Notamacropus eugenii: one gene and its partner. The protein of the gene in region 2 interacts with the protein of the main gene of each other region in a biochemical or structural test. Links are inferred from orthologs where the notes say so. Each region holds a gene or a part of one and is shown on either strand. Other genes may lie near its edges.

The links.
Region 1: the proteins of POU2F1 (region 2) and POU2AF1 are reported together in a solved structure, tested with the Homo sapiens proteins (2 studies listed by BioGRID, with this or other methods). The link is inferred for Notamacropus eugenii from reciprocal best matches to the Homo sapiens genes POU2F1 and POU2AF1.

What each region holds. Positions count from the first base shown.
Region 1 is NC_092876.1:142,885,079-142,892,841, reverse strand, and holds the start of POU2AF1 (POU domain class 2-associating factor 1), read right to left. Parts: upstream 3,204-7,763; 5' UTR 3,114-3,203; intron 1,229-3,113; exon of another isoform or gene 1,178-1,228; intron 1-1,177. UniProt on the Homo sapiens protein: Transcriptional coactivator that specifically associates with either POU2F1/OCT1 or POU2F2/OCT2. It boosts the POU2F1/OCT1 mediated promoter activity and to a lesser extent, that of POU2F2/OCT2. It recognizes the POU domains of POU2F1/OCT1 and POU2F2/OCT2.
Region 2 is NC_092873.1:479,334,445-479,342,009, forward strand, and holds the start of POU2F1 (POU domain, class 2, transcription factor 1), read right to left. Parts: upstream 3,268-7,565; 5' UTR 3,231-3,267; coding exon 3,170-3,230; intron 1-3,169. UniProt on the Homo sapiens protein: Transcription factor that binds to the octamer motif (5'-ATTTGCAT-3') and activates the promoters of the genes for some small nuclear RNAs (snRNA) and of genes such as those for histone H2B and immunoglobulins.

The DNA of each region.
Region 1 (7,763 bases), on a different chromosome or scaffold from region 2:
ATAAATATTCTTTGTCAGCTAATCCATCCTTTGTAACTGTCAGGCTTCAGAAGGCTGGCAGCTGGCCCATCAGACAAAAATGCAGCTGTGACCTGAGAAACGTGAGAAGGGGAGCATATTAATGAAGATGAAAAACATGTTTTGTAACTATGTCCAAGAGGAGGTCCAGGATAGCCCCTGGACTGGTGCTTTGTGAAGGATGAGGTCCCCAATACTACTAGTGCTACCCAGGGGAGAAAGTCAGATAGGGAGGCCCTGCCTTCTGTCAGTCCATTTCTCTGACATGAACTCCTTAGGAATTCATTAAGCATAACTTACATTTATATGGCATTTTAAGATTTATAAAGCATTTTATATAAATGACCTCACCCAATCCTTATAAACCTAGGAGGAAGAGGCAATTATAATAAGCTCCAATTTAATAAGAGGAAACTGAGCCTCTTAAGTGATTTGTCATCGTTATCACTCACAGAGGTGGTAAGTGACTCTGGTAGGATTTGAATTCAGGTCTCTCATACTCCAGATCCAACACTCTCTCCATCACTCTACGATTCTTCTCTCTGGGCCTCCTTGAGCCCACCAAGTAGGAAAGTCATCCAAGATAGTGTTGAGGGAGCTGGGCCAAACACAGATCAGAAAAAAACAGGGTTTCCCTGGAAGTGTGATCTCTTCACCTGGTGTCTCTGGATGCCACTGAGATATTACCCAAGCAATTTACTCCCTTTTCCCTTCAATTCTTCAATGAGCAACCTAGTCAAAGCCTGGAGAAAAGAAATGACCTACAGGGAAGGGGTGATGAGTCAAAAGGAAATTGTGTAATTCCAGATAAAAAGATAAAACAAATAAGCATAGAATAATGTGGGCTAAGGGGAGACTGGCTTGAGGTGGCTAAGATTTCTAGACCCCTTATTCTTCAACTTAGAGCATCTTAGTCCACCTAGCCCTTTTCCCACCTTAAGTATAAATCCTTTTCACACCCTCTCTGATAAGCTTCTTCCTGAAGATCTCCAGTGACAGGAAACTCACTACCTCCTGAGGTAGCACATTCCATTTATGGGTGGCTCCAATTTGCAGGAGGTTTTTCTTAGCTATGCTGAGTTACTCTTGCTCATTGATGACCCTCTATCATCAACTACACATAAGGAATCTTGAGGAAGGGGAAAGTTCAGGGATTTACCCAGTTTCTGGGAAAGGTTCCTCTAAGGATCAGCAGTCAAGTCCTTAACATCTAGAAAGGCCAAGAAAAGTTCCATATTAGTCCAGATACCCACCTACCCACAAGGATCTGATTACTATCTCAAGAAAAATATTATGACGCCAGAGTTGGTTCGGAGATAGTTATCAAAATTAGCAAGGGGATAAAAGGTACTCTATACAAATGTAGATTTTTAAAATTAGGAGGTTTCTGTTTAGAAAGATGAAGCCTGTGATAGAAAGGCAGAATGGCATAATGGATATGGAACTGAAATTGGAATCAGGAAGGCCTGGGTTCAAATGCCATCTCAGAAACTTACTAGTTGTGTCCCTCTGAGCAAGTCCCTTATCCTTTCTGTGCCTCAGTTTTCTCATCTACAAAATGGAGGGCAGGAGTAGACTTGCTGGCATCTCAGATGCTTCTAGCTCTAAATCTGTCATCTTGAAGATCATGAAGGGACAACCAGAATGATCCTGGATCTGGTCATTAAATATCAGAATAGTAGGATGAGAAGGCATTCTTGTATTCTTAAAAAGGATTTTAGGATAAATAAGGAATTAAGATAAATAAAAGGAATTACTAATTTTGCCATTGGAGTTGGTAAATTTCTGGACCTTGTTAACTATAAGAGATGAAACAGACCAAAGCAAAGAACTGGGAATGGAGTACCTATTACTTGTGGGGGATGGTTAAACAAATGATTATTTTATTGTTTTTTTCAGTCATTTCAGTCATGTTCAACTCTTCATGACAACATTTGGGGGGGTTTTTTGGCAAAGATACTGGAGAGTACTTTGCATTTCCTTCTCCAATTCACTTTCTAGATGAGGAAATGAGGACAAAACAGGGTTAAGTGACTTGTTTAGAGTCACACAGTTAATAAGTTTCTGAGGTCAAATTTGAACTTGGGAAAATGAGTCTTTCTGACCTCAGGCCTGGTACCCTATCCACTGCACTAGTATGCCATAAGAAATTATTAAAAAGCCTATTTCAAGGAAACTGGCAAAGCTGAATGAGCAGAATCAGAATAATTTATATAACAAAAATATTATTAAAAAAAAATTTGAAGGGCTTATTCAGGGGAATGACCAACCAATTCTAGACAACTAACGTTAACGCATACTACTTCAAGCATTCAACTTGAGTCCAGAGGTAAAGGACTCAAGATCCAGAATGAAGTATACATTTTTAGACAGATATACATTTTCAGACATGACTGTACTTATTTATTACAAAGGAGGGTTTCTATTAGAGGACAGTAAGAGGCATGGTGGCTAGTGATATGATGTGAAAGAAAGAAAAAAGTGTCAATAAAACATCTAAAATTTATACAGAAGAAAGAATAAGAAAGTCTAGAAAGGAACACAGACAAAGCAGGTCAGCTTTGTTACTGCCATGTTAAATTTAATACTTTTAGACAACTGTACGTGAGAGAAGTTGGTCATTTTATGTACAATCATCTTCTATTCCTTATGTATGAAATGCTTGTATTTAAGTTCATAGTAAAGAAGAGAATTTATATTTTAAAAAATAACAAGCATTTGCTAAGCCCCCACCAAATACAAGGCTCAGTGCTAAACCCCAAGCATACCAAGACACAATGAAAAGCTATCTTTATCCTCAAAGAGCTCACATTCTACTACAATTACACAGATCACTAGATTATAGATTTAGAACTAGAAGAAACCACAGAGGCCATTTAGTTCAACCCTCTCATTTTACAGATGAGGAAACTGAGGTTAAGTTTCCTTAACCTTAAATAATTTGCCAAAGATCTAATGGCTAGTAAGTGGCAGAGTCAGGATTCTGTTCCAGATCCCCAATTCCACATCTAGGTTTCTTTGTAGTAATTTTGGAAGAAAAAGGGAGCACTAACTGGGGAGATCAGCAAAGTTTTTTTATAGGAAAGAGGTAGTACCTGTTATGATCCTTGATGGAAGTTCTAAGAGAAGAAAGTTTATTCCAATCCTGAAGGACAGTCTTGGCAGAGGCATGGTAGTGGGAGATGGGATGCCAAGTCTGGGAAATAGTAAGCAGGTGAGTTTGGCTGGAATGTAGAGTCCATGAAGAGGAGCAATCTGAAATACTCCCAAACACAGATACTCATAACCTGTTATCCTCTGGCTGATCCTTGGAAGCCACCACATCCTGTCAACTCTACTGCCTACTTATCTTTCACATCCATTCTCCCCCTACTGTTCTCACAGCCAATCCAGTAGTTCAACTCGTTAATTGTTACCTGGATTATCACAAAACCCTTCTCACTGCTCTCCTTGACTGTATTCCAATATAGAAATGCTAGCTATAATAATAATTATTATTATTTTTAATTCCTCTCACCCCAATTCATATGACCTATCCCTACCAAATTAATCTCCTGTGTATAGCTCAGATCATATCACTCCACTGCTCAGAAACTTCCATGCCTTCCCATTGTCTAAATAAAAGAGCAGTCTCCCCACTTTTTGGCTTTATCTCATGCTACTTCCTTTTGCCTATCCTATACCCTAATTTCAATGGATTAGTTGTTATCTCCCAAAGCAGTCTCAGGCTTTCTTCTACCTGTGTTCAAATGCCCTTCCCCCAAATTTCTCTCCTTTAATAGAGCACCCATCATTTAAACTGCAGCTCAGATGTTGCCTGAGTTTAGACTCTGTACTCCTCATATATTTATAATATTCAAATTTGTATTTTTCTATGAGAATGTCTTCTCTCTCCATACTAGACTATAAATAAGTTCTATAAGACTGTGTCATGCTTATCTCCGTATCTCCTCTAATGCTCAACATATCCATGGCACATAGAAGGCCCTTAATAAATGCCTGTTAAATTAGTTTAGCTAGCGCAAAGGAGTCATATAATCAAATGAGATAATATATGTCAAGCACTTTGCAAACCTTAAAGTGCTATCTAATTGTCAGCTATACAGGTGAATAGTAGGAATTAAGGCTGAAATGTAAGAAGCAACCAACCTGTGGAAAGCTTTGCATGACAGGCTTGGCATTGATCAAGTGCCTTAGAGGGGACTAAGGAGAATGAGCACTAAGAAGAGTCCATTGGGTTTATTAATTAGGAGCTAAGCTATCAGAGAGACATTTCAGAGTGGTGACAATGAAAGAAAAGTTGTAAGGAGTTAAAGAGTGAAGAAATGGAAGCAGGGGCAGAGGCCAAAGTTGGAAAATGTTGCTACTGAAAGGGAAATAGGGAAGTAACTAGGAGAGGAAGAAAAATCAAACAGAGGTTTGGGATTTGTGTTTTCTTTTTTAAAATAAAGGGAACAGGATTGTACTTGAAGATAGAGTAGGACCAAATCTCCACACTATGTTTTACCTCCCCTAGAGATAGGGGACCCATACCTATCTTGTCCTACCCCATAATTTTTGTAGATGAAGAAACTAAAAGCCAAGGTAGTTGCATGACTTCCTCAGGGTCACAAAGTAAGTCGATACCTTGAGTCAGAACTAGAACTTAGGTCTCAGTTTAATGTTCTTTCTACTTCTAGATAGACTCAAGAGTCTCCCAAAGGAACTAGGTACATAGGAAAATCTGGACCCCTTTATCCAGCCCAAACCACTGACAAAACTTTTACAAAGTTTTCTTTCTACTCTCATCCTCTGTCACCATTCTTACCTTGCTGCCATTCTAAAAGCATTCTCAAACTTGACTTGGGATGGGAGGACCTTACCTGGCAGGCCTGATGGGATGAATGTAAGTCAAAGATATAGACCTCACCTGAACCTGGTCACTTTTCTCTCCAGATATGCTGGCGGATGGAGCAGTCTACTTTGGAGAGGTTCCCTCCAGGGAGATATAGACCTCCCAGATATGCCCTCTTTCTGACCAACATCAAAAGGGCAGTTCCAGGAGTCTCAGAAGTTCTAGAGATATATTTGGTGACAGGGGCAAACCATGGAGACATCAGTCCCCAGCAAATGAAAGCGCAAAAGGTCTCCTTGTTTGAATTTGAAAAAAAGTTCTCCGTCCTAAGGTATACCAGCCACTCCCAACCAAGAACTGAGGCAGGAACCTCACGGGGAGAAAAAAGTCACCTCCTTCCCTAGCTGGGCCAAGGGAAATCAAAGCTCGTACTCTGGACCCAAAGGCTGAGAGACTAGGAAGATGGAGGTACTTGGAGAGACATTTTATGAGATCTTTGATCCAAAGCCCTGTTTGGGAGAGAGGGGCTACAAAGAATTTTGGGGCAAGGATTCTGAGGGAGAGAGGAGAAGAAAGCCCCTTATTACCACAGAGAGAATGTACCTTAAACAGTGAAGAAAGCTGCTTCTCCAGTATGACACTTAAGGGTCTGTGGCAATGGGCTTAGGGCCAGGATAGGATCACTCAGGTTTTTATTTCCCATTTGTAAATGGAGAGAGGTGAGGAAAGGAATTCTTTGGCTGAGTAACACAATACCACTAGGTCCAGCCCACCAGGGTTGGCCATGGGAAGAACAAACAAGTCTCCAGTCTCACACTAGTGAGTTCCTGGGCACTCGTTCCTAGGTGCCACTCATTAGGGTGAAGCCTTCAATGATTGAGGTGACTGGGGCTGTGGGGAGAGGGAGATGGCAAACTCTACATGGAGAAGAAGAAACAGACTCTTGAGTCCCAAGATCAGGGACCCCAAAACAAAATGTCACTGAATATTCAAGTGAGAGCCCCCTGAGTCTTGGCTAGCGCTGACCAACATGTCCTCCCCATGTCCCTGCCATCTCTATCATAAGTTTCCTCGTTAAATCAGGATGGAGTCTACAAGTCCAGAGGTGGCTCCTTTGTTCTGTCATTGGAACGAAGTAAGGGGCTTCCTGAGCGATGTCTGAACAGGCACAGGACACACCTAGGAAAGCCAATGCCCAGTGCAAGTAAATGTAAAAGGTGCCCTTTGCTTCACAAGCTAAGAGGGATTACACTTAGGATTCTCTCCTGGGCCACTCCCCCCCCCCCCAACAAGCAACCATCATCAGTGTTATTGCTATAATTAATAATAGGGATAGGAACTGGACCTATGATTTCCCACATATAAGCAACCCCTAGGTGAGGAAGCTCCCTCTGCCAAGGCAAGACAGCACTTCCTTTGCAATTAATAGCCTCAGAATTGCCAGGGGCAATGAGAAGTTATGAGCCTTGTCAAGCGTGACACAGCCAGTATGTGCTGGGGACAGGCCTTGAACCCAGATCTCCCAGGCTCTGAGACCATTTCCTATCTACTATGCCACACTGCTGTTGTTAATAATATTAATAACTGATGCTTCAAACAACTGTCAGCCCAGTATTTTTCAAACCTGAGCTCAGAATGAGAGTCTCTCACCTGGTAGGGCTAATGGGATGAGGCACAGACCTCACCTGACCTTGGTAACTTCCTGATGGCCAGCCCAGGACGCTAGTAAAAGGAGTGGCTCCAAGGCCAGGTGCTCCCTCTCCCGCCCTCTGTACACATGCGGGCCTGGCCCGGCTGGGATCTCCCCAGCAGCGTGTTTGTTTTGCTGAGAGTTTTCCGTTGGCTCGCGTGTGGGTGTTTGTTGTATTTCTCTTGCAGATGGCAGACAGCATGCTTCCCCATAGGCGGTACGTAAAGCAGACCCTGCAGGAGAGAACAAAAGCCACGCAGGTGAACAGCCCCGTCTGGCGGTCTCTTTTATCCAGCCCAACCTGAAGACAATATCTTTGCAAAGGTCCCTTTCAAATCCATTCCTGCCATCCTTCTATCCTAGCCTCCCTCCATCTCTCCCTCCTTCTCTCTCTCTCTCTCTCTCTCTGTCTCTCTCTCTGTCTCTCTCTCTGTCTCTCTCTTTGTCTCTCTGTCTCTGTCTCTGTCTCTCTCTCTCTGCCCTGAGAACGTGTGTCTGTGAAAGAGGCAAATCTCTGAGGTAATGCTTCACAATGAACAGCAGACCATTTGCATCTAAAAGGATGCCTCCTACTCAGCCTCTGATCAGCCACTTTCATCTCAAGGTCACTGACGTAGCAGTTTCTGACATAGAGTAGGAACTTATTAAATGTATATTGATTACTAACTAGGAATGAAGAGGACAGGTAACATACCCAAAGGATCCAGGAGGAAGTAGCTCCTTGACTGTGTCTGCCCAACAACTCTAAACCACTTCACATATTTGGCACTCCCCAGGAAAATAAGGAATGTCAGCATGGACAACTCCTGAGACTAGGACAAGACACAAAGGAAGCGTGCCACAAAATGCCAATGTCTCCACAGCACATACTACACTGAAATGGCACACACAGAAGGAGTCCACTACACCACTAACCACCAGCTAGTAGCTTTGCCAGCCACGATGTATTGACCTTATAGACATGAGATCATAGAATTTCAAGCTGGATATCATCTATGTCCAACGCCCTCATTTTACAAACGAAGAACTTGTGGCCCAGAGAGAGTTCAGTGACTAGTCACACAGGCAGTAAGGAAGGATGAGCCAGGATTCAAACACAAGCCTCCTGCTGCTCTTCCCCGATTTTAACCACCACTGTCAGCATCTGGGTCAGCTCACTAGTTGCTTCAATAGGAAGTATTTTGTTGATAGCACACAAACAGATCTTTGGAAACTTTAATG
Region 2 (7,565 bases):
CACTTTGTTCGTGTAAGCAGAGGTCTAAAAGCAAAACAGTATACTTGGTTAGCTTAGGGTTGTAATGACCTATTTAAAACAATCCTTTTACAAGAGGGTGGAATCAGATCTGAGACTTTTATGATTACACAATTCTTCTATTTGATAATTTCTACAATAGCATAGAAAGGCAAGATTAATAAATCCAGCTCTGCCATACAACAATACAAGACCAAAATTCAACAATTCCTCCTTTTCCGTATTACTAACACTGAAGTAAAATTTTGTTTCTAAGATGTGATATACATTTTTATCATCTTGGATAAAATATCTACAGTCTCAGTAGTGGTTGAATTGCAGCTATAAAGGAAATTGTCCTGAGATAAATGGCTTCCCTATGAGAAGATTTCACTGCTACACTTCACCTCAGGCCAATAAATCAAATTAACTGCACCTTGTCCTCTGTCCAATGACATCATCAGCTTGACCACATCTTGGGAAGCCAGTATAAAAACATATACTACTTAAGGAATTAAATCATATTACTGCTTTTTGTCCACCCAACCTCCCCCTGACAGTATTTGAAGCCCTCATTCACCTGAACACTCTCATTAAAGCTAAACATTTATTCCTTTCTTAGCATCATTCAGGATTTGTCTTTACCAGGAGCAAAACAGAAAAAAAAAAAAAGTATGAACAGGTTATCTGAAAATTGAATTGCTTAAGTTAATCGACTCAGAAATTTTAAATTGTTATAAATTAAGGAGAAATACTTTGACGATTACTGCCAGGAGCTGAACTGTAAAATCTCTTAAATTGTTTCCATGCTGCTGTAACACGTCAAAAAAAACAACACAAAACAAAAAACAAGCAACCAAGGCTCTTAAAAGAAGTCTGCTGTCTACTATTTTCCTTCAATATCAAGTGGATGGTCACTAATGAAAAGCTCTACCATTTTAGCATATCACTACAGCCACAAAATAAAATGAAAACCAAAATTTGCCCAAGAAGAATCTAAATCCAAGTGATTATTACTTCTAAAGAGTATGAGTTAATCGTTTTAAAAATAACTCCACTGTGTTTACCTTGATGAAATTAATTCTGACCACTTTGGAAGAGGAAAGGAATAGTAAAGTCCCAGTAGCCCAGGAGGCACACACACACATATATACATATATACGTATTTTTCCTCTAATTTTTGCCCACATGGCATAGCATAAACAGCAAAGAAAATATTCCTATTTTCAAATATTTTCTACATTCAAGTATTGATAATATAAACCTTCAAAAGCACAAGATATTACTCTCCTTTTAAGTTATAGTGAAAGAAGACAGTACTGAGAAATTCTTAAAGTGTTCCAATATTACTATCGTGAAATGTCTAAAAATCTTGGGATTTCTCCTATCTCCTAGAAAACTTTGTTGATTTTTACAAGTACAAGAAAGATCTTTCAGGGAGTGAAAGTGTTAATTAAATAGAAATCGTTGTCCCCCCCAAACAAACTCTATTAAAGAATGAAAGCATCTTACGTGTTCCAACTCCCACTAAAAATGAGAAAATAAAGCCATTTCTCTAAAACGTCTAACCGCTGCTTAGATTCTATGAAAACCTCTTTTAAAAAGAAAACAAAACATCCCCAGCCTCTGGCTTCGCTGGGAGCTGAGCGGTTTTGAAGCTGGTCGAGCCCCAGGGGGGTTTTGTCTTGCCCGCAGGGGGTGGGCCGCGTGGTGCGTGTTTGGGGGGGGTAGTTGGTGGGGGGAGTGATTTTGGTTATTAGTAAATAAATCAAGCGGCAGAGAGGACGAGGCCTAGGCATCTGCTGCAGGAGCTCAGGCCTAGCTCCCCCTTCTCTTCTCAGCACAGCCCGGGTTTGATCTTGGAGCCCTGCGGATTGCCAAGAAGGAAAAAAAAAGAATCATATCGAACCACAAAAGCACATGGGGCGAATGTAAAATATAAACACGGCGTTGGGCTGTGAGTGGCTGTTATTAAAGGTCTGAATTACTAAACATGAGAGGCGGGGAAAGCCAGGCGGCCATTTCAATAATATAAACCTCCCCGAATTAGACATTATTCAAATGAGAGAGGTACCGAGCGGGAGAGAGCAGCGAGGACCCGGGGCACCGGCCCAGGGAGGGCAATCTCCGGCCCGAGCGGGGCAGGCGGGGATGGCACCGGGCCGGGAGCCGCCGGCCGGGCACCCCAGCGCCAGGCGCTGCCCCCGGGGCCCCCAGGCCGGGGAAGTGAGTCTCTGGAGTACCCTCCCTCCAAGTGTGCCAAGGGGGCCGGCACCTACGGGCAAGGTCCCGAGGCCGCGGGGAGCGGGGAGGGGGCGACGGCGCCAATCCCTCCTGCCCAGGTGGCTCTTCCTGGTTCCACCTTCCACACCCAGGTGAGCCAGACCCACCCCGGCACGGAGAGCTCCACGCCCCCTCCCCCAGCGCCGAGGGCCCCCGCCGGCCCACACCGACCCTCGGACAAGCTCCCCGCCCCGAGAGGGGCCCCCCAAGCCCGGGTCACCGGCGGCACGGCCGCGGGAGCGCCTAGGTCGGCGGGGGGGAAGGACCCACCTAAGGATTTTAAACCTCAGACCCACGTGCGGCGGGGCGGGCGGGCGCAAGGACGCGCGGGGGCCGCCCCCGCCCCCCGCCGCGGGCACCGCTCCCCGGCCCCCCCCACTCCCGGCCAGGCGTCCGGCCCGCCGGGGTCCCGCTCCTTCCGCGGCCGCCTCCTCCCCCAGCCCACGGCATTGTGCTCGCCCGCCCCCTCCCCCGGCGACACACCCCCCGCCCCCCCCAGGCCGGCCGGCGCAGCCTCCCGCCACCCGCCCGGCCGATCGCTGATGAATATGTAAAATGTCTTTATTGTCCGCACCCGCGGCCCCCGGCGCCGCCGCCGCGGACCCGGCAGCCGGGCCGGGAGGGCCGGGGGGCCGACGAGCGGGGGCCGGAGGAGCCGGGTGGCTCGCCTGCCCCCGTGCCCCTTGTCTTCCCCTCCGCCTGGACGCACCGAGCCGCTTTAGCCCTTCGCTCGGCTCCCGGCGGGGGCTACGGGCTCCCCGGCCCCCCATCTCCCCGCCGTTAATTATAATAATCCTGAGTACTAATAAATTATGCTAAGTCGCAGGGGGGGGCAGCGGGAGCCGGGGTTGAGTATGAATATGAATATGTAAAATGCTGTAATGATTACCTGCTGCTGCTGCCGCCGCGGCTGAACTCTCATCTTGACTCGCTGCTCCTCCGTCCGCCATTTTGAATATTTTAACCAAAATCGGCCGGTCGATAAACCCTCCCTCGCTCCCTGCTCCCCTCCCCCCTCCCGCCCTCCATGCCTCCTCCCTCTGCTTTCTCCTCCTCCTCCCGGCCTCCTCCCCCCTCCCCGCCCAGCTCTCTCCTCACACCAGGCGCGCGCCAGGGGGCGCGCGAGGCTGATGCTCGCCCCGCCCCTCCCCCTCTACGCACACACCCTCACGACTCCGCGCCTGCGTCTCTCCACCTCGCGCTTCTTCACATGTCCTCTCGCTTCCCTCCCCCCCCCTTCACTTTCTGGGTCTCTGCGTCACTTTCTCCTCGGGAACCTAGAGGGATTCGGGCACACACATGCGCAGTCTGTCCCCTGTCGCCTCCGACTTGGATAGGCTTTTCGTGTTCGGCTGCTTTTCTTTCACTCTGTCCCCCTCACCCCGCCCCCTTCACCCAAGCGACTCCGAAAACATTTGCGTTTGCGCAGTTGGCGTGAGCAGGGCACGAGTTCCGTTGCCCGTCCCAGCTCTGGCAGGGAAGTTTGTGGACAAACACGAGGGAATGGCGTGCGGAGCGAGGGACTCACAGGCCATTTTCTCCCTCCCATGAGCGGAACGGAGCCACAGCGTCACCTCGTTGGCGACCCTGCACCGAAGTGCAAGAGTGCCCGGACTGCCGGCCGCCCGCGGACCAATGGCGGCCGAGCCTTCCCTCCCAGGCTCCGAGGCCGCGGGAGTGCGCCCGCGCGCAGGTTACCCGACGTGCTGGCGGCGCGCTCGTCACCGCGGCGGCGCGCGGGCCCCGGGCTCCTCCGCACCTGTGGCGCCCCATCCCGCTTTAAATTTGAATTCCGTACTTAATCCCCGCCCCCAAACCCTCCTCCGACCCAGCCAGCCCCGGAGCGCTCGGAGAGCGTGCTCTGCAGGACTCCCTGCGTCCGCAGCCCGCATACAGTCGGCGCTTACTAAACGGCCTGCCTGCCCCGTCCGCTCCTGTCAGCGCCCCGCCCGGCCTTGCTCTTCCCTGAGCGTCCGCGGAGCCGAGGCACCCTGGGGACGGCGCGCGGCTCGGAGAGGTGGCGCCCCAAGCGCCGGGGGAGCCTAATCGGGGCGTCCCTACCCCTACCCCTAGCCCGCAGACCTCCGAGCGCCGCCACGCGCCCCGGGGCTCTGCGAAAGCGTTCCCATGGTGTGGACAGCTGTCTTCACTTGTTCTTCGTTTGGGCTGGACCCCCAAAACTTAGTCATTTTAGCCTGAGCCAAATCCTGCGGACACTCCTGGGGGTCTGGCGTAGTGTTTGGTTTTGGTGAGAGTAAAAAATGCATATGTTTTATGGCACACAAAAGAGTCCCTTTCCCCCTGCGCTGCCTCTGAATCTCCCCGAAACTCCGATGCGGGAGAAGGAGGAGCGAATCGGGCCTGGTGTGCGGGGGCGAGGTCCTGGGAGAAGGGACGTCTGGTAGTGTGAGGACAGGCCGGTGAGGGGCGGCCGTGGGCCCGGCCTCGCGCTGCCAGGCCCTTCACTTCCACGCCTTTTCCTTTAAGCCAGAGGGGCCACAGCGGATTTCCGAGCCCAGATCTGTGGTTCTGTGAAGTCATGTTGAAGCCTCCAGGTTGGATGGATGGACCGAGTGCACCAGCGCATGACAGCAAAGACATCTGAAGGGAGAGATTTGTTTGGGAAAATCGGAGATCCATTGAGCAGACTCCGATAAAGACCCTCTCTGATGCCTGTTGGTGGATTAGGGGCTTCTCGAAGACTACCCGGCGGCACCCAAGTTCTGACAGATCCTGTCAAGCCAGAAGGACTTCACGCCCGACAGCCAATCTGCAGTCCAAGCCTCCTTGAAGGGAGTTGGAGAGGAGGGGGTGTTCCTGATTATAATCCTGATTTATGTCCAAAATGAACCGTCAATTCCTAAAAACTTTTATAGAGTTCCAAGACTTCCCAGATACCTTCAAAGCACCCTTCACGTTCTGTGGGGAATAGCAGGGGACACTAGAGTAACGGGTGGGTAAGGCCAAAAGGTCATGTTTAATGGGATTTCACTGCAGATTCTTAAAACAGAGAAAAATTAATGTGAGTACAGCTCAAAGACGTGTCTAGGAGGAGTAACTTAAAGTAGATTTTGGACAGTAGCGGGTTTCTAAGGAGTCTATAAGACTACGTGTGTGTTCGTCCTTCATTGCCAAAGAAAACCCATGCCATCAGAGAAATTGACATGACTTGCAATTGACTTTGTTTGGAGTGAGGGAGGGCTGTGCAGGTCACCAGCCTCACTTCTCCCCCAGAGCCATCTGAATCCAGTGACCAGATATTCATCAGGATGACCGGAGACGACCCAGGATGAGGCAATTGGGGTGAAGTGACTTGCCCAAGGTCACACAGCTAGTGAGTGTCAGTGTCTGAAGTGAGATGTCTGTGTTAAGCTGTAGGAAACAATCAACGTAGTGAATTTGGCTGTTTCAGTCATTGGCTCCAGATGACAAGCTCTGGGAAAGCAGCAACTTTTCTTTCTCCTGACTAGCACCAAACACAGTGCATTCTTGATGCCAAAGTGGCATTTCAACTCAACATGAACAAAGTGAAATTAATCATTTTACCTCTAAAACCAGCGCTTTTCTACAGACTTCTTTATTTCTGTTGGAGGAGCTATCATCCTTCTAAGTAGATTCATAAGCATGGAGGAGTCTTACGTGACTCTTTCCTCTCCTTTTCCCTCTCAGTCCCCATATTAAATCATTTGCTAAGGATAATTCATTTTATATACCTAAAAACTTTCTCATTGGTCCCTTTCTCTCATATCCCTGCTTCCCCAGTACAAACCATTTCTCATTTGAACTATCTAATTGAGGCAGCAAGGTTGTGAAGTGGCTGAGCCTTAGGCCTTCCTGAAGAAAATACCTGACTTCAAATCCAACCGCAGACACTAGCTAGCTGTGTGATCTAAGCAAATCTTTTTAATCTCTGCCTCAGTTTCTTCAACTGTAAAATAGGGATAATAATAGCACTTACCTTCCAGGGCTGCTGTAAGGCTCAAATGAGACAATATTGGTGAAGTGGCTGGCACATTGTAGTTGCTATATAAGTGCCAATTGATGCCCTACTTCTAATTCTCCCTCTCCAAAGCATCTTTGACATAGATGCCAAAGTCATCTTCCTAGGCACAGGTCTAACTTCCTCACTCCCTTGCTGAAAAAATTCCACTGCTTTCCTGTTGCCTGAAGAAAAAAATACAAACTGCTACCCAGCCTAGCATTTTACATCCCTGTACAATTTGACTCTAATCTACCCTTCCAGCCTCATTATATGCTACTTCCCTTCTCACATTTTCCAATCTAGCCAAAATGACTTCCTTGTTGTTTCTTACACGTGACACCCAGTCTCCCATAACCATGCCTTTGCAATATACTCCCTTCTCTTCTCAGGCCTTCAGACTGCTTGCTACATGATCCACCCACCCCAAGCTTCTGTGTTGTCACCGAGAATGGTGACTAAACCTGCTCTAAAAAGGGGTAGGGATGGGAGGAGGGGGAGAGGGAAGAAAATGGGAAGAGGTTTCATTTAGAAGGTGGTGGTTTAGCTGAGTTTTGATGCAAGCATGGGATTATGAAAGATAAGGAGAGGAACAACCGCATTCCAAGCATGGGAAATAGCCTGTGTGAAAAGCATGAAGACAGGCGGTAGTAAGGAGGCAGGAGATTCTACACCCTACTCTGTTTTACCACGAGTTGAATTACCTTACACAAGACAACTCATTCTGCACTTCAGTTTTCTCACTTAAAGGCCTTTTGCCCTTCCTTCTTGGGGTATTCATAGTCAATGTTTTAGAATCCATGGAAGCTTAGGAGGGACCTGCTTCGAAGCAAGCTTCCCCCAACTCCCCACTTCAGAGCATAGACAGATGTCCTCCAAATGTTTCCTGATAGTGTACTGGGTGGTATTGAAAAGCCTTTCAGTTGGTTGCTGAACCAGACCTCTATGGGTGTACTAAATAGGGTGATCCCTAACCCCCATGTTCTTCTTTAAATCTTTGATAAAGGAGCATCCAATAAAATGAAGGCCCTCCTGTAGGTCTTTTTTTCTGTTATAAGGGTAATACTATTGGTCATATAGCCACTGAAAAAAAGAAAACCCCAATATGTCACAAAATACTTATAACAGTGTTTTTTAGTAGCAAAGAACTGGAAACCAACTAGATGCTGATCCTTTGGGGAATGTCTAAACAAGCCATGGTACATAAATGTTATGGATTATTACTTTACTGGTAAGAAATTATGAATATGATGAATGCAGAGAAGCACGAATAGACCTATATTCACTGATACAGAGTGAACTAAGT